Linked DNA regions of Stegostoma tigrinum. The protein of the gene in region 1 interacts with the protein of each later gene in a pairwise test. Links are inferred from orthologs where the notes say so. Each region holds a gene or a part of one and is shown on either strand. Other genes may lie near its edges.

Region 1 (9,633 bases):
GCTAATCTAAAAGTCCCTTAAATATCCTGTTTGTTTCTGCCTCCACCCACCACCACTGGCAGTACATTTCAGACTCTTACCACTCTCTGTGTAAAGAACTTGCCCCCCACATCTCCTTTGAACTTGCCTCCTTTCACCTTAAATGCAGACCCCCTACTATTGGACATTTCACATCTGGGAGAAAGATTCTGACCATCAACCCTGTCTGCACCCCACAATTTTATAGAATTCTATCAAGTCTCCCCTCAGCCTCCATCGCTTCAGAGAAAACAACCTGAGTTTTTCTGGCCACTCCTTACAGCTCATATATTCTAATCTAGGTGGCATTCTGGTGAACCTCTTCTGTACCTTCTCCAAAACCTCCACATCTTTCATGTAGTGTGGCCACCAGAATTGAATGCAATACTCAAAGTGTGGCCTAACCAAAGTCTCATAAAGCTGCAATATGACATCCTGACTTTTGTCCTCAATTCCCTGACCAGTAACAGCAAGCTTGCCACACGCCTTCTGTACCACCCTATCTACTTGCATGGCCACTTTCTGGGAGCTGTGGACTTGAACCCTAAGATCCTTCTGTCCATCGATGCTGTTCAGAGTCCTGCCATTAACTGTATACTTTTCCTGAACATTTGATCTCCCAAAGTGCAGTATATCACACATAGCTAGATTAAACTCTGTCTGCCATTTCTCCGCCCATATCTGCAACTGATCCATGTCACAGTGTATCCTTTGACAACTTTCTACACTATCCACAAATCCACTGATTTTTGTATCATCTGCACACTTACTAACCAACCCATCTACATTTACACATAAGTCATTTATATTTACCACAAACAGTAGAGGCCCTAGTATGGATCCCTGTGCACTATCACTAGTCACGGGTCTCCAGCCTGAAAACACCCTTCTGTGGGCAAGCCAATTCTGAATCCACATGGCCAAGCCACTGTGGATCCCATGCATCTTAATCTTCTGGATCAAACTGCCATGAGGGACCTCGTCAGAAACCTTACTAAAATCCGTGTAAACAACATCCACTGCTCCATACTCATAGATGACCTTTGTCACCTCTTCCAAAAATTCAATCAAGTTAGTAAGACATGACCTCTCCTGCACAAAGCCTTGCTGACTGTCTCTAATTAGATCATGCTTTTCCAAATGTCTATAAATACTATCCCTAAGAATTCTCTCCAATAGCTTCCCGACCACTGATGTAAGGTTCACTGGTCTACAGCTTCATGAGTCGTCCTTATTTCCGTTCATGAACAAAGGAACAACATTAGCTACTTGCCAGTCCTCTGGGATCTCTTCAGTGGCTAGTGAGGATACAAAGATCTTAGTCAAGGACCGAACAATCTCCTCTTTTACCTCTCTCAGTAACTTGGGGTAGATACCATTGGATCCTGGGAACTTATTCACCTTAATGCTCTTCAAGAGGTCCAACAGCACTTCTTTCTTAATCTCAAAATGCCCCAGCATATTAGCATGCTCCATGCAAATCTCACTATCCTCCATATCCTTTTCCATGGTGAAAACCGGTACAAAGTACTTATTTAGGATATCACCCACATCCTCTGTCTACAAGCAAAAGTTTATCCTTTATCCTTGAAATGTCCTACCTACTCCCTAGTTATCCTTTTGTTTTTAATGTAACTGTAGAATGACTTGGGATTCTCTTTAACCCTACTTGCCAAGGTCATTTCATGGCTTCTTGTTGCTCTCTTAATTCCCAGCTTCAGTGCTTTCCTGATTTCCTTATAATCCTCTCGGGCCCTGTCTGATTTTAGCTTTCTAAACATTACATATGTTTCCTTTTTCTGTTTCGACTAAATTCACAGCTTCCCTCGTGTTCCAAAAGTCCATTACCTTACCATCTTTGTCCTTCCTCTTTACTGGAACATGCTAATGAGCTCTCATCAGCGGCCCTTTAAACAATTCCTATCATGTCCATGCATAAAGTGTCTATTTTTTGTTCCATTTTCCAACACTTGGCCTGTAACTATGTATGCTGTGGCATTTCAAGTGCTCATCTAAATACTTCTAAAATGTCTTGAGTTTTCCTGCGTTTACCACCATTTTTGGCACTGATTTCCAGATACCCACCATCCTCTGAATGAAAGCTGGTTTCTTCAAAGCCCCTCTAAACCTTCTGTCCTTTATGTTAAACCTATGTCCCTTGGGTACTGTTCCCTCTGCTGAGGGGAAAGGATTTTCCCCATGTACTCTCTCTATGCCGCGCAGAACTTCATACTACTCAATCATATGACCCCCTCCCACCCCTGTTCTAAGGAAAACAACCCCAGCCTATCTAGTCTGTCTTCATAGATGAATCGCTCCAACCCAGGCAATATCCTGATGAATCTCCTCTGCACCCTGTCTAATGCAATCACATATTTCCTACAGTGTGGTGACCAGACTTGCACACGGTACTCCAGCTATGGCCTAACTAACATTATGCAGCTCCATTATAACCTCCTTGCTCTTGAATTCAATGCCTTGACTGATCAATTTAGAAATTCCATAATGACTTCTAAACCACATACTTGTCTTGTGATCTTGAAGGATCTATGGACATCCACATTAAGGTCCCTCTGATCTTCTGTACTTCCTAGGTCCTGCAATTTATTATGTATTCCCTTGCCTTGTTAGTCCTTCCAAAATGCATCACCTCACTCTTTTCAACATTAAATTCCATTTGCCAGTGTTCAGCCCATCTGACCACTGTATCTATATCATCCTGTAGGCTAAGACTTTCCACTTCACTACTTAAAGTACCACCAATTTTTGTGTTATCTGCAAACTTACTGATCATAACTCCTCTATTCATGTCTAGATCATTAATGTGTGCTACAAGCAGCAAGGGACCCAGCAACAAAACTTGTGGTATGCCACTATACACAGGCTTCTTGTCTCACAAAAACCCTTCGATCATCATCCTCTGCTTCCTGCCACGAAGCCAATTTTGGATCTAATTCGGCAAATTGTCCAGGATCCCGTGGACTCTATGCTTCTTAATTAGTTTGTCATGCTAGCCCTTGTTGAAAGGCTTACATGTTGACTACCCTATCATTTGCACTACCCTCATTTACACACCTAATCAGCTCCCTGAAAAATTCATTCCAATTTGTGAGAAATGATCTCCTCCTTTCAAACCATGTTGACTATCTTTGATTAATCCTTGCCTTTCTAAATGAAGATTTTGTTTCTGAGAATTTTTTCCAACAGTATCCCTAATACTGATAGTAGACTCACGTTTCCCACTAGCCTGGCTTTGCTCCCTCAGAATAGGTCCAACACTGTCCTATCTCTTATAGGACTTTCTATATGTTGGTGGATGCACACACTCAAGATCAGTGTTTATGCAGATATGCACACTCATGGGTCAATGCAAAAGTCACCATAGCCCTGCTCTCTCATTAAAGAGAAATAACTGGTGGTGGTTTAACCTGAGGGTCGCAATACCTCTGGTAGCAGGAGATCCCTTTATGGTAACCTCAGCCAGTGTGGAAAGTGAACACATACTGTTAGCATCAAAAACCAGCTATCCAGCCAATTGAGTTAACCAATGAACAACAGGACTATGTCTGTAGATGTTCACAAATAGGTCAGCTTGTGTATGCATGGATGTACACACATAGGTCAGTTAGTGTGAATGTAGATGTACACACATGGATCAGTATGTGTGAGTGTGTATATGTAGAAGGATACACACGGGTCTCTGTGTGTGCGTGAGTGCAGGTGTACACACCTGGGTCAGTGTGTGTGTGAGTGTAGATGTACATACATGGGTCAGTATTTGTGTAAGCCTGTGTGCTTGTGTAATGTACACAAAAGGTCAGTGTGCATATGCTTAGATGTACACACGGGTCTGTGTGTGTTTGTGTAGATGTGCACACATAGATGTGTGTGTGTGTTTGTGTGAGTGTAGAGGCACACACTTAGGTCTGTGTGTGTGTGTGCTTGTAGATGTACGCACATGGGTCAGTGTATGTGTGAATGTGTGTGTTTGTGTCGATGTACACATAAAGGTCAGTGTGTGTGTGTGTAAGTGTAGATGTACACACATGGTCAGCATATGTGTGTTTAAATGTACAAATAGGTCAGTGTGCATGTGTTTCTGTAGATGTATACATATAGGACAGTGTATGTGTGGATATATAACAGACGAATCAGTGCATCTGTAATTAGGTGTACGCACATAAATCTGTGTGTGTGGAATACACACGTGTCAGGGTGTATGAGAGTAGATGTACACACATGGTCAGCAAATGTACATACGGGTCAGTATGCGTGTGTTTCTGCAGATGCACACACATAGGTCTGTGTGTGTGCGCGTGTGTGTGTGTATACACGCATGGGTCAGTGTGTCTATGTTTAGATGGACACACATGGGGTCAGTCTATGCGTTCACGCATGTGTAGATGTACACAAATGGGTCAGTGTATGAGTGTATAGATGTACACATGGGTCAGTGGTTGTGTGCTTGTAATGATGGTGTTGGCCTCATTTGACAGCTTCACCAGCATTTTGTTTCCAAACTTTTTGAAATCAGCTCAAATTCACTCCAAAGTGCAAAGCGAGAAGTGATTTGCGGTGCAGAGAGTTGAGGAGTCTTATCCATGATCCTAACTCTAGTTTCTATCACTGACTAGCTGTCAGTCAGTGTGCCCCCGGGTTCTGATGCTGCTCTTTATGTCCAGCGTTTACATGCTGAATGCAAAGGCCAGTGGCAACAGGAGTTTCGTGCCCAGGCTGCTCTCTGTCGGACACCCTACCTTGCCCCCTCGGCCAAACCCCCACCCCCAGGGTTAACTCCGGGGCAGCATTTACTCATTGCACCTGCAGTTTCTAACAGTTGCCCGACAAGGCGTCAGTGAGCTTTTTTTTTGAAAGCATAAAGTCAAACCCGTGCAAAGGAACTGAGTCAGCGGATTCAGTTGAGGAAGTTGAGAGAGAGAGAGAGAGAGACAGAGCAGTGTTGGCTCAGAGACTCAGCGAGTCAGTAGGACTGTTCGCATTCCGGATTTTAACATCGAGCTGCTGCCTTTCTAACTGACCACTCTTATGGAAGCTTTGCTCAGGTACAGTGCCATAGCTAGTGTCTTTCTTTTAATCAAAAAGAGAAGTCAAGACAGGTAGAGTTGAAACTTCAGAACAGAGGGAGAGATGAATTATAAACTCAGAGGCTTGTAGGTTGAGTTCTAACTACGCGTTTGGAAGGTTCGCCTCCAGATGTAGTGAAAATAGCGTTTGTCCCGGACATGAGTGGGACTGTGATCTGTCCCTTGTGCTTATTCAATGAGGTTACAGCCTGTTTACTGAGTGGAGATGAAAAACTAAACAGGGCGACAGAGAGCACAGGAACAGAAAACAAATGTCAATATTTACATTTCATAAATTATTTAAAGAATTTAAGGATTTGATGACCATTCGGCCCAATCCTAGTCTGGAAATTTAATATTAATTTGTTCTATTTTAAAATGAAATCCAGGAAAGGCTAGAAGCGCTGAGTATCCGTGAAGAGAGACTGGGACAAACTCATGGTGCTGTTGAGGACCCCTCACATTTTTTATTCACTCGTAGGATCTGGGTATCTCTGGCTGGGCCTGGAATTTATTGTCCGTCCTTAGTTGCCCATCAGAAGGTGGTTTGCGCTGCAGTCCACATATAGTGGGTTGACCCACAATGGTGTAAGCGAGGGAATTTCAGGATTTTGATCCAATGACAGTGAAGGAACAGGGGATGTATTTTCAAGTCAGGGCGGTGAGTGGCTCGGAGGGGAACTTGCAGGGGTGGTGTTTCCATGTATTTGTTGCTCTTGTCCTTCTAGATGGAAGTGGTCGTAGGTTTGGAAGGTGCTGCCTGAGAATCCTTGGTGAATTTCTGCAGTTCATCTTGTAGATGGTACACACTGCTGTTACTGGTGGAGGGAGTGAATGGTTCTGGGTGTAGTGCCAATCAAGCGGCTGCTTTGTCCTGGATGGTGTCAAGTTTCTTGAGTGTTGTTGGGGCTGCACCAATCCAGGCAAGTGGGGAGTATTCCATCACACTCCTGACTCATGCCTTGTAGATGTGGACAGGCTTTGGACAGTCAGGAGATGAATTAGTCGCCGCAGTATTCCTAGCCTCTGACCTGCTCTCATAGCCACCACATTTATGTGGCAAGTCCAGGTGAGTTTTTGGTCAATGGTAACCCCCAGAATGTTGATAGTGGGGGATTCAGTGATGTTAAAGCCATTGAATGTCAAAGGGCAGTGGTTAGATTGTCCATTATTGGAGATGGTCATAACCTGGCATTTGTGTGACACAATTGTTATTTGCTACTTGTCAGCCCAAGCCTGGAAATTGTCCAGATCCTGTTGCATTTGAATGTGGACTGCATCAGTATCTGAGGAGTTGTAAGTGGTGCTGAAAATAGTGCAATCATCAATGAACACCCCCACTTCTGACCTCATTTAATTTTAATTCACTCAGGGGAATAGGCATCACTGTTTGGGCCAGTGTTTATTGCCCATTCCTAGTTGCTCTTGAGAAGGTGGTAGTGTGCTGTCTTCTTGAACTGCTGAGGTCCACATGCTGAAGGATGACCCAACAATGTCGTTAGGGAGAGGATTCCAGTACTGTGATCCAGCGACAGTGAAGGAGTGGCAATATATTTCCAATTCAGGATGGTGAGTGGCTTGGAGGGGAACTTGCAGGGGGTAGTGTTCCCACCTAACTACTGGCTTTGTTCTTCAAGGTGGAAGTGGTTAGAAGTTTGGAAGGTGCTGTCTAAAGATCTTTATTTTGGAGACTAGGTCATTTATGAAGTAATTGAAGAGGGTTGGGCTGAGGACATGAACGTGAAGAACTCCTACAGAAATGTCCTGGAGCTGAGAAAACTGACCTCCAACGACAATGACCATCTTCCAATGTGCATATGACTCCAACCAGCAAACAGTTTGCCCCCAATGCCCATAGATTCAAGTTTTGTTAGGATTCCCTTATGCCACACTCAGTCATATGCAACCTTGATGCCACTCCTACCTCACCTCTAGAATTGAGCTCTTTTGTCTATGTTTGAACCAAGACTTGTAATTGGCCACATTGGATTTCGAGTCATGGAGATATAAAACACCGAAACAGACCCTTTGGCCCAACTTATCCACGCTGACCAGACATCCGATTCTGACCTAGTCCCATATGCCAGCATTTGGCCCATATCCCTCTAAGACCCTTCCTATTCATATACCCACCCAGATGTCTTTTAAACGCTGTCATTATACCAGCCTCCACCACTTCCTCTGGCAGCACATTCCATACATGCAAAACCCTTTGCGTGAGAAAGTTGCCCCTTAGGTGCCTTTTCTATCTTGCCCTACTTACCTTAAACCTATGCCCTCTAGTTTTTGATTCCCCATCCCAGGGAAAAGACCTTGTCTATTTACCCTATCCATGCCTCTCATGATTTTATGAACCTCTATAAGTGTCAGCCTCTGACAGTTGGGGGAAATAGCCCCAGTCTATCTCTCCCTATAGCTGAAACCCTCCAACCCTGGCAAAATCCTCATAAATCTTTCCTAAACCCTTTCAAGTTTCACAACATTTCTCCTTTGGAAGGGATGTGATAATGGGAATTGCAGATGCTGGAGAATCCAAGATAATAAAATGTGAGGCTGGATGAACACAGCAGTCCCAGCAGCATCTCAGGAGCACAAAAGCTGACGTTCTGGGCCTAGATGAAGGGTCTAGGCCCGAAACATCAGCTTTTGTGCTCCTGAGATGCTGCTGCGCCTGCTGTGTTCATCTAGCCTCACATTGTATTATCCTTTGGAAGGGAGACTGGTTGATGCTCTCAACCATCTCCACCTCAGTTCCACTGATGTAGATAAGAGCTATTTACCCTATCCATGCTCTTCTTTATTTTATAAATATCTTAAGATCACCCTTCAGTCCCTGATGTTTCAGGGAAGAGCCCCTGCCAATTTAGCATCTCTGTGTAGCTCAAACTCTTCAGTCCTATCACCATCCTTGTAAATCTTTTCTGCACCTTTTCAAGTTTAACAACATCTTTCCTGTAGAAGGGTGACCAGAATTGTATGCAGTATTTCAGAAGCGGCCTCATTAATGTCCTGTACAGCTGCAACATGACATCCCAACTCCTAAACTCTATGCACTGAACAATGAAGGCAAGCATGCCAAATGCCTTCATCACCATCATGCCTACCTACAGCTCCACTTTCAAGGACCTATGCTCCTGCACCCTTAGATCTCTTTGTTGGTAACACTCCCCAAGACTCTACCATTAACTGTATAGGCCCTGCCCTGGTTTCTTCACAAAATGCAACATCTCACATTTATCTAAATTAAACTTGGTCTGCCATTTCTCAGCCCATTGGCCCATCTAATCAGCTGTTGTACTCTGAGACAATCTTCTTCACTGTCCACTGCAACACCTATTTCGGTATCATCTGTAAACTTACCTAAATGATGAAAAGCAGTGGACTAGTACTGATCCTTGTGGCAACCACTGGTCACAAGCCTCCAGTCCAAAAAACTACCGTCCACCACCACCCTCTTTCTCCTACCTTCAACACTTTTATATCCAATTAGCTAGCTCCCCCTGGATTCTATGCAATCTAACGTTTCTAACCAGACTACTATGTGGAATCTTGTCAAATGCTTTGCTAAAGTCCGTATAGGCAATGTTTACTGCACTGCCTTCATTAATCTTCTTTGGCCCCCCTTCAAAGATCTGAATCAAGTTCGTCAGATACAATTTCCCATGTACAAAGCCATGCTGACTATTCCTAGTCAGTCCTTGCCTTTCCAAATGCATGTCAATTCTAACCCTCAGAATCCCCTCCAACAACTTACCCACCACTGATATAAAATTCACCGTTCTATGGTTCCCTGTTCTTTCCTTACAGTGTAAATAATGGCACCACATTAGCCAACCTTCAGTCTGCCAGCACCTCACCAAGTGGCTATTGAAGGGGCCCAGCAATCATTTCCCTAGCTTTCCACAGAGAGGTCTGGGAAACAAAGTTCTGATCAGGTCCAGGGAATTTATCTCCCTTTATGTGTGTTAAGTCCTCCAGTATCTGTTCTGCTGTAATATGAACTCTTTTCAAGATATCATTCTTTATTTCTCCAAGTTCCCTGGCTATCAAGTCCTTCTCCACATTAAGTACTGTGTACAGGACAGACCTGGGAAATTTTCCACATTGCTGTGTGGATACCAGTGTTGTAACAGTACAGGAACAGCTTGGCTAGGGGAGCAGCAAGTTCTGGAGCACAAGTCTTCAGTACTATTGCTGAAATGTTACAATAGACAATAGGTGCAGGAGTAGGCCATTCGGCCCTTCGAGCCAGCACCACCATTCATTATGATCATGGCTGATCATCCACAATCAGTCACAATGTTGTCAGGGCCCGTAGCGTTTGCTGTATCTAGCATCTCCAACCATTCCTCACTATCACGTGAAATGAATCGAATTGGCTGATGACTGATATCTGTAATGCTGGGGACCACTGGAAGAGGCCAAGATGAATCATCCTCTTGGCACTTCTGGCTGAAGATTACTGTGAAAGCTTTAGCCATATCTGTTGCACTGATGTGCTGGGCCCTTCCATCATTGATGATGGGGATAT
Region 2 (10,225 bases), on another chromosome or scaffold:
CAGGTGGTAGACATTCGAATCCTCTACACGATCATGGCTGATCTCAAATAAACTTTACTGACTACACACTAGAACCGCTGATCCCTTCTTTATCAGAACCACCCTAACTTAACCTTGTCAAGATACTGAATGATGCAGCCTCTGCTGCTTTCTGGGACAGAAAAGTTCACTTCACATATGTATCTAAACCCAGGGACCTTTTACTCTTAGATAACAAAGTGTGGGGCTGGATGAACACAGCAGGCCAAGCAACATCTTAGGAGCACAAAAGCTGACGTTTCAGGGCTAGGCCCTTCATCAGATTTTAGTCTGCCCCACATGAGGGAACATTCTCGCGTTATCCACCCTACCAAGTTCCCTCAGGATCAGATCTCCACAAGGTAACCTCTTGTTCTTTTAAACTTCAATGCTAACACAGCAACCTGTTCAACCTCTCATAAGCCCTTCGTTCTGGGAATGAGCTAAGTTAACTTTCTCTGAACTGTGTGGAAGAAAACTATATCCTATACAGCTGCAGTTAAACTTTGACTTGGATATCATATTCCCCTTGCAATGAACAATATTTCATCCTGCTTCCTAATCATTTGCTGTGTCTACATACTTAATTTTAAAAGCCTTGTACCACAACACTCAGATGTATTCTGCATTACCATCAGTTAAATAGCATACTGCTATTCTATTCTTCCTGCCAAAATAAAAACGTTGCTAACTTTCTACATTATATCCCTTCTGAAAACTTGTACCCATTCACTTCACCTTGCTATAATACTTTGCAGATCTACCTCATCTTGGCAACTTTACTTTTCTACCTCCCTTGGTATTATCAACTTTTGATCGCATATGTTCGGTACAGTTATTGAAAAAATGAATATGTATTATAAACAATTGAGAAACCAGTGGAGACCCATGACTGTCAACCCAAAAAGAATCTTGTCTTATTCTCTGCTTCCTGTAAGCCAATCAAATCTTCAGACATGTTTATTTGATACCATCTACACCACAAGCTGTTTGATTTGGCTGCTTATAAAATTACAATTGGACATCTAAAGACACCATAACTACTTGTTTCCATCTATCCATTATGAGAGTCACTTTAAAACTAAAAGAACTGCAAATGCTGTAAAATCAGGACCAAAAACAAAGTTGCTGGAAAGGTTCAGCAGGTCTGGCACCATCTGTGACGGAGAAATCAGAGTTAATGTTTTGGGTCCGGAGACCCTTCCTCAGAACTTGATTAAACAGGCTTTCCTATTCATATAGTGTCAGGTCTGCTGGATAACACCATTTTCCAAGTAACTTTATATAACCTCCTTAATAATGGGATCTACAATATTTCTGACAACTGATTTTTAAGGTAACTGATTTTTAAGATTTGAACATATCCTTGTTTCCAAATCCAGTCTTCTGGTACCTTCCCAAAATGGAAGAAATTGTTGGAGATTACAAAGAAAAGATCCTCTATCTGTGCAAGATAATAAAATGTGAGGCTGGATGAACACAGCAGGCAAAGCAGCATCTCAGGAGCACAAAAGCTGACATTTCGGGCCTAGACCCTTCATCAGAGAGGGGGATGGGGTGAGGGTTCTGGAATAAATAGGGAGCGAGGGGGAGGCGGACCGAAGATGGAGAGAAAAGAAGATAGGTGGAGAGAGTATAGGTGGGGAGGTAGGGAGGGGATAGGTCAGTCCAGGGAAGACAGACAGGTCAAGGAGGTGGGATGAGGTTAGTAGGTAGATGGGGGTGTGGCTTGGGGTGGGAGGAAGGGATGGGTGAGAGGAAGAACAAGTTAGGGAGACAGAGACAGGTTGGACTGGTTTTGGGATGCACTGGGTGGAGGGGAAGAGCTGGGCTGGTTTAGGGATGCGGTGGGGGAAGGGGAGATTTTGAAACTGGTGAAGTCCACATTGATACCATTAAGCTGCAGGGTTCCCAGGCGGAATATGAGTTGCTGTTCCTGCAACCTACGGGTGGCATCATTGTGGCACTGCAGGAGGCCCATGATGGACATGTCATCTAAAGAATGGGAGGGGGAGTGGAAATGGTTTGCGACAGGGAGGTGCAGTTGTTTGTTGCGAACTGAGCGGAGGTGTTCTGCAAAGCGGTCCCCAAGCCTCCGCTTGGTTTCCCCAATGTAGAGGAAGCCACACCGGGTACAGTGGATGCAGTATACCACATTGGCAGATGTGCAGGTGAACCTCTGCTTAATGTGGAATGTCATCTTGGGGCCTGGGATAGGGGTGAGGGAGGAGGTGTGGGGGCAAGTGTAGCATTTCCTGCGGTTGCAGGGGAAGGTGCTGGGTGTGGTGGGGTTGGAGGGCAGTGTGGAGCGAACAAGGGAGTCACGGAGAGAGTGGTCTCTCCGGAAAGCAGACAGGGGTGGGGATGGAAAAATGTCTTGGGTGGTGGGGGTCGGATTGTAGTTGGCGGAAGTGTCGGATGATGTGTTGTATCTGGAGGTTGGTGGGGTGGTGTGTGAGAACGAGGGGGATCCTCTTAGGGCGGTTGTGGCGGGGGCGGGGTGTGAGGGATGTGTTGCGGGAAATGCGGGAGACGCGGTCAAGGGCGTTCTCGATCACTGTGGGGAGAAAGTTGCGGTCCTTGAAGAACTTGGACATCTGGGATGTGCGGGAGTGGAATGTCTTATCGTGGGAGCAGATGTGGCGGAGGCGGAGGAATTGGGAATAGGGGATGGAATTTTTGCAGGAGGGTGGGCGAGAGGAGGTGTATTCTAGGTAGCTGTGGGAGTCGGTGGGCTTGAAATGGACATCAGTTACAAGCTGGTTGCCTGAGATGGAGACAGAGAGGTCCAGGAAGGTGAGGGATGTGCTGGAGATGGCCCAGGTGAACTGAAGGTTGGGGTGGAAGGTGTTGGTGAAGTGGATGAACTGTTCGAGCTCCTCTGGGGAGCAAGAGGCGGCGCCGATACAGTCATCACTGTACCGGAGGAAGAGGTGGGGTTTGGGGCCTGTGTAGGTGCGGAAGAGGGACTGTTCCACGTAACCTACAAAGAGGCAGGCATAGCTGGGGCCCATGCGGGTGCCCATGGCCACCCCCTTAGTCTGTAGGAAGTGGGAGGAGTCAAAAGAGAAGTTGTTGAGGGTGACCGCCCAGTTCGTCCCCTCCCCCCACTGCACCACACAACCAGCCCAGCTCTTCCCCTCCACCCAGTGCATCCCAAAACCAGTCCAACCTGTCTCTGCCTCCCTAACAGGTTCTTCCTCTCACCCATCCCTTCCTACCACCCCGAGCTGCACCCCCATCTACCTACTAACGTCATCCCACCTCCTTGACCTGTCCGTCTTCCCTGGACTGACCTATCCCCTCCCTACCCTACCTCCCCACCTATACTCTCTCCACCTATCTTCTTTTCTCTCCATCTTCGGTCCGCCTCCCCCTCTCTCCCTATTTATTCCAGAACCCTCACCCCATCCCCCTCTCTGAAGAAGGGTCTAGGCCCGAAACTTCAGCTTTTGTGCTCCTGAGATGCTGCTTTGCCTGCTGTGTTCATCCAGCCTCACATTTTATTATCTTGGATTCTCCAGCATCTGCAGTTCCCATTATCTCTATCTGTGCAGCCAGTTCTCTTTAAGATCTTTGGATATAGGCCATTGGATCCTGGCACTTTTGCTTTGGTGATAGTGATTACATTTTTTCGAAATGCATTCCTCCCTATCACCTCGTGACTGTTTGCTTATCTTTGGGAAGACTTTCCCCAGTCTCCTGACAAGTAGACAGCTACAAACCATGCGTTCAAAGTCTCAGACGTCCCCGGAAGACTAACACTAGCTTTCGTTACTTTTTTTACCAGTTGTTGAAGTATTTGCCAAAGTTCTTCCAATCTGTTTTTATGCTGCTGGCAACCTTTCCCTGACACCATCCACCTTTCCTTTAACGTAAAAGCCAGACCAAAGACTAATCTTGGGAGGGGCAGGAAAGTCTAACGTTTCAGGTTGGGGCCCTTTCCTACTCCTCAGAAACTGTCTGACCTGGTACGAGCCTCCAACTCCATACTTTATCAACTCATACTTCCAGCATCTGCAGTCCTTGCCATCTCCTAGCCTTTGGGGTTTGTAAAAGGAAAATTAAAAGCAGTTTTTCATTTCAACTGAACACTGATCTTCACCCAGCTAACAATCCTTTTGTAAGAGTTTTCCCTTGCTCACTGGGCCAAAACCAGAATGTAGACCCTCACAGAACTGGTACCTCCCGGCACCACGAGCAACGCTCTGACCTATTAATTCCGAATCGGTTAGGGAAGGATACCCAGACTGAGGATACACGCCCCTGGGCCCGTCCCACCCTGGGGACAGTAGTTGCGGTGGTAACTCTCCCCTCACCAACAAACCCACGGCCACTCGCCACAAGCACCGCGCCAAAGCCCGCGACAGGAGGACACACCCGGCATCGCCTTGCCGCCCCTCATTGGCCGAGGGGTACACACTAGCTCTCCACTCATTGGAGGAAAAAAAACTCCGTCATCCAAACGACCGTTGCCCGCGTGCTCCCACCCCCAACCACCGCGACCCCTTAAGGCCTCGGCCGAGATGTTCTTCCCATTCGCTGAGGCGTACACACCGTCTCCCGGCTCATTGGCGGAAAAGGGAGTAGGCCCGAAACATCAGCCTCGCGACTCCTCTGCTGATGCTGCTTGGCCTGCTGTGTTCATCCAGCTCCACACCTTGTTATCTCATTAGAGGAAACAGTCCGTCATCCAATCCGCACTATGTTCGTCCCCACCCCGCTTCCCGATTGGCTCTCTGGTGGGGGCGGGAACTGCGCTCCTACGGCTCTGCCCATATGTCACTCAGACTGAGGCACGTGCTGTCTTTCTCGCGCGACGCCCGACGCCGGCGCTAGACTTTCTGCAAAGGTCTTTGCCTCTCACCCTCGCTGCCTACCATGAGCGGCTGGATAGGATTGACGTCCACCGGTATAAGACTGGGTTCAGAGATAATGGGAACTGCAGATGCTGGAGAATTCCAAGATAATAAAATGTGAGGCTGGATGAACACAGCAGGCCAAGCAGCATCTCAGGAGCACAAAAGCTGACGCTTCGGGCCTAGACCCTTCATCAGAGAGCCCCTCTGATGAAGGGTCTAGGCCCGAAACGTCAGCTTTTGTGCTCCTGAGATGCTGCTTGGCCTGCTGTGTTCGTCCAGCCTCACATTTTATTATCTAAGACTGGGTTCAGTTGACCGAACGCATTTACCCCTTTATTATGGAGCCGAGGAGGTGTCGTTGGTTAGTTGACAAAAATACTTTAGAGGTTGGCTTTCAGTTAACAGATACTGTGTTGCCTTTGGAAAGGGGGTGGACGGAGAAGTTCTGATTAATTGCTGGGTTGTCGCTGTCTGAAACAGAGCGTTGGGAAAATGCGGACCCCGAGCCGGCGCGCATGCGCGTTTGGAGTCGCGCCGGCGGCTGTGGGGCGGGCATGTGGCTGCAGTACTCAGAGCATGCGCGGAGGTCCTGGAGAAAGGGTGTGTTGTGCGCCTGCGTGGTTGCCGCTCAGGAAAAATGGCGCTGAACCTCAGTCGCAATGGGCCCGTTCTGCAGGCTGCCTATCAGGATGTGGTAAACGACAAGGCCGCTACTGACTGGTGAGTTGTGGTCAGGGCGAAAGAAGATTCAGTAGGTTCCAGATTGAACCTGGATTTTGAGGAGGGGAAGGGAAAGCGGAAGGTTGCAGGTGGTCGGGAGTAGAGGCTCCTTTTCGAGTTTGTTGAAGGTGTAACATTGACTGATGAAGTTTGGTTGCTGGGTGTGGTGTTCGTTTGTGTGGAGAAGGACTCGAGCCTTTCGACGCCGGGGGTTGTTCGGCCCGTTGTGTCTATGGTGCCTCTCCCGATCAGACTTTGACTCTGTACTGTTGCCATGCCTCCCTGTGCACACATTCTGAGAATCCCTACAGTGTGGAAACAGCCCTTTAGCCCAACAAGTTCCACACTAACCCTCTCGGCATCCCACCTAGATCCATCCCCCTATAAACCCACCTAATCTACACATCCCTGAACATTATGGGCAATTTAGTATGGCCAGTCCACCTAACCTGCTCATCTTTGGACTGTGGGAGGAAACCAGAGCACCTGGAAGAAACCCACACAGACATAAGGAGAATATGCAAACTTCACACTGACAGTTGCCTGGGGGGTAAAATTGAACCCAGGTCCCTCATGAGGCAGCAGTGCTAACCACTGAGCCACCGTGCTGCCAGACAACAGTCAAAAATCTTATCTGAATGTCTCCAGTCACCTTAACTCCACTGCCCACTCGGGTTCTAGCTGCCAGCCACTTGCTGCATGAAAGGAAGTTCTCCTCTTGATGTTTTTTTTGTCAATGAGTTTAATCTGTGACCTCTGGCTTCCATTAGTTGCATTGTTTTTTTTGTTTTTATCCAGACTTGGGATTGGATTTTGAATATGATTTTGAATACCTTTGTCAAATCATCTTCCAGTCTTCTCTGAAAATTACGTCTGCAGTCACTCACTTGCAATCACAATCTTATTTCACTGAAATTCTTATCCCCAGAATCATTTATGGAGTATACACTTGTATTTCCAGAAGAGCTGTGCCAAAGCTACATGGTAGATGGATGATAATTTAATGGGATCCAATAATAAATTCTGTTGGGCTTTAGCTTATGAGAATGACCAGGAGGTGTATATTTGTATTTACATTTGAGTATAAATTAAGTGGTTATAATTGCTGATAATAGCCTAAATTGGCCATGTAGTTGATGCAGCGTAAGTTGTAAATGATAGCAAGATGCTGTGCATTGACTTGGTGAGTGAAACTAAATGTTAAAGAATAAATGAGATATGTGAATGGGTAAAGCAAACAAATTTAAGGGGTGGAGTAGAATTGTTTGAATTAAGTTTGGCTTGTTCACATGAATGTTAATAGATTACAACTTGCCACTTGCGGTGCTATTGTAGGTGCAAAGGTAGTGAGGTATAGAATCTTAGCACAAAGCAGAAAAATAAAGAAAACAAAGTTTTATAAAAAGTGAAACATTACTGTCCTCCTTTGTAAGAAGTAGAAAAGCAAAGGAACACAGTTAATAGTTAAACACAATAGTCCATAAGGACCTGGCCACTTCGAGTTTGCACTCAATGACTTGACCTCTCCCCTGTCACTACTCTGGGCTGGCTGCTGTTCCTGCTCCCACTTCCGCCTTGGAGTGCCAGCTACCCTGGGCTGCCAGTACTTGCTGCCTAACAGCCTGCGGCTGCTCTTGCTGCCAAATACCTTGCAGGAGCAGCAGCCCACGTGCATGCTATTCAGCCACCATCTTGAAAGGGATTGGATATAGATCTTGAGGAAGAAAGGGACTTTAGAACCAATGCAATTAGATCCCTGTAAGTGACAGAACAAGTAAGGTACTATAAGAAGGCATATACAATTCTTTCCGTTTTTAACTGTGGAACAGGAAGTCAGTGTAAAGAGTTATGCCAGGACACTGATAAAGAATTGGATGTTTATCAGAAAACCATGAGTATTGATTAATGCACATATTTGGGATGGAAGACAGTGTCATAAAGCATGCCTTAGGGATTTATGTTGGGACATTCCCTGAGATATGTTACAAGTGTAGGCCGTCTTGTGCAAGGGCATAATTACCAAGGTTGCAGAGGATGCAAAACTATGAAACATATTTAACCAAGGAGAATGGTGTAGAATTTCAAAATGACGGAAGAATTCATGGAATGTGCTGATAGGCAGTTGATGAAACTTGGTGTAGAGATGTGTAAAGTTTGGTAGGAAGAACATGGAAAAATAATGAAAAAAAACTTGAAAAGGGGTGCAGGAACAGCAGAAACTGGATGAATAGGTGGAAAAATCATTACAGATGACAGGACAGTTTGAGGAAAAAAATACTCAAGCAGTCAGTATCCAAGGCTTTATTCACAGGACATAGAGTACAACAGCAAGTAGGTTGTGTTGAACTTGGATAAGTTGCTAGTTTGGCCTCAGCTTGCAGTACTGCATCTAGTTCAGTGTGCTGCATTTAAGAATGGATGTAAAGACGGAGATAGTGCAGAAGATGTTTTTGGAAATGTTTCGAGGATTGAGAAATCTCAGATATGAGGATAGATTAAAGAAATCAGATCTGTTTTATTAGAAGCAAAGAAAGCTGAAAGATGTTTGACTTTGGTCAAGGACTGTGAAAGAAGAACTTGAGCTGTTAAACAAACAGGAAGAACAGGAAATCAGGAACTAGTGATTGCACAACACCAGCCACATGGCAAAATTTGCATGCTTTATGCTGATTTGTTCATGTCGCCACTTGGATTTTAGTTTAACTGCCAAAATGCAATCATGAGCACGCTCCATCTGTGATAACAAAGTGTGGAGCTGGATGAACACAGCAGGCCAAGCAGCATCCTAGGAGCACAAAAGCTGACGTTTCGGGCCTAGACCCTTCATCAGAAAAGGGGGATAGGGAGAGGGGGAGGCGGACTGAAGATGGATAGAGGAGAAGATAAGTGGAGAGGAGAGTATGGGTGGGGAGGTAGGGAGGGGATAGGTCAGTCCGGACAGGTCAAGGAGGCAGTATGAGGTTAGTAGGTAGGAAAGGGAGGTGGGAGGAGGGATAGGTGAGAAGAACAACATGTTAGGGAGGCAGGGATGAGCTAGGGTGGCCTTGGGATGCAGTGGGGGGGAGGGGAGATTTTTGAAGCTGGTGAAATCCGCATTGATACCATCAGGCTGCAGGGTTCCCAAGCGGAATATGAGTTGCTGTTCCTGCAACTTGGGGTGGCATCATTATGGTACTGCAGGAGGCCCAGGATGGACATGTCATCTGAGGAATGGGAGGGGGAGTTAAAATGGTTCGCGACTGGGAGGTGGAGATGTTTATTGCGAACTGAGCGGAGGTGTTCTGCAAAGCGGTCCCCAAGCCTCCGCTTGGTTTCCCCAATGTAGGGGAAGCCACACCGGGTACAGTGGATGCAGTGTATCACATTGGCGGATGTGCAGGTGAACATCTGCTTGATGTAGAAAGTCATCTTGGGGCCTGGGATGGTGGTGAGGGAGGAGGTGTGAGGGCAAGTGTAGCACTTGCTGCGATTGCCGGGGCAAGTGCCGGGTGTGGTGGGGTTGGAGGGGAGTGTGGAGCGGACAAGAGAGTCACGGAGAGACTCCATCTGTGACTTTGGTTTGACTTTTCTTGGTGCCACCTCCTAACCTCGACTCCCATTGCTTGAGCAAAGCCTTGCTTTGTACATCTGCAATTTACTTTATGTTCAGATTGTTATTCGCTGATAAGCAATTTAGTATGTGGGCCTGTTCCTAATCACTGATTACCAACAGGTCTACATTGGTGCTTGTGGTACACGGACAACTTGTATTATTCGTTCTGGTTAAACTGAAAAAGCTTATCTAACCCTACAGTTCCTTTTCCACTCTGAGTACTTCCAGCTTCTTAAATGATTTACATCATTCATCTCAAACACTCCCTATGAGAGTGAATTTTGCATGCTCCCAAAGCTCTGTATAAGAGCTTTCTTCTGAATTCCTTGTGAGGATTTTTTAGTGGCCATTTTATAGCTCTTCCTCTCAAGAAGAAATAATTGTTCTGAATCCAGTCCATATGTATCACAGTCTCAATCTGGCTGCACCTCAGCCTTTTTAAAAGAACAAAATCCAAGGTATTAGTCAAGTATTTAAAGTCTGTTGCTTTTTGCGTTCGTTATATTAAATAAGACTTTCAAAAATAAAGCTGAGATGCAGTGTGAAATTATTTTGTCATGCTGAACAAAACTCGGTAAGTCAAAAGGACTGGTGTGAACCTATAAATATTCACAAACGTGAAGTGCTTATATGATGGTTAACCACAATTCACTGCCCCTCTCAGTTGCTTTGACCCCAGCAACATGTCTGTGCAAATGTTGAAATAGAGAATCAATTGTCGTCTGAATTTGACACAGCTGGAGGCACAAAATCTTTTCAGCTATGGTTTGCTGTCAGTGCTGTTTTCTGGTAATTTTATTAAGACAGTGAAGATTTTGTTATTGGACACATGACCATAGCCCAGGTTTTTGGAGTGAGCTTTCTGCCCTGTTGTTCAACTGACTAACTTTCTAAAGTACTGTACAGCAGATGCCACTTGCTTTAGAGAATTAAAACATTAATGGAGACAAACAGTGCAGTTCATCAAGCCTGTCTTCTCAACTTGGATAATCCTGTCAGTGGTTTCCTATCAGATTCCAGATTTCTCCATTTC

Evidence for each region. The genes of interacting proteins can lie anywhere in the genome.
Region 2: the proteins of sh3bp2 (region 1) and dbnlb interact in binary tests that used the Homo sapiens proteins (3 or more experiments, as listed by UniProt). The link is inferred for Stegostoma tigrinum from reciprocal best matches to the Homo sapiens genes SH3BP2 and DBNL.

Annotation. Positions count from the first base shown.
Region 1 is NC_081356.1:130,334,471-130,344,103, reverse strand, and holds the start of sh3bp2 (SH3 domain-binding protein 2), read left to right. Parts: upstream 1-4,980; 5' UTR 4,981-5,081; intron 5,082-9,633. UniProt on the Homo sapiens protein: Binds differentially to the SH3 domains of certain proteins of signal transduction pathways. Binds to phosphatidylinositols; linking the hemopoietic tyrosine kinase fes to the cytoplasmic membrane in a phosphorylation dependent mechanism.
Region 2 is NC_081393.1:1,037,132-1,047,356, forward strand, and holds the start of dbnlb (drebrin-like b), read left to right. Parts: upstream 1-5,456; 5' UTR 5,457-5,517; coding exon 5,518-5,600; intron 5,601-10,225. UniProt on the Homo sapiens protein: Adapter protein that binds F-actin and DNM1, and thereby plays a role in receptor-mediated endocytosis.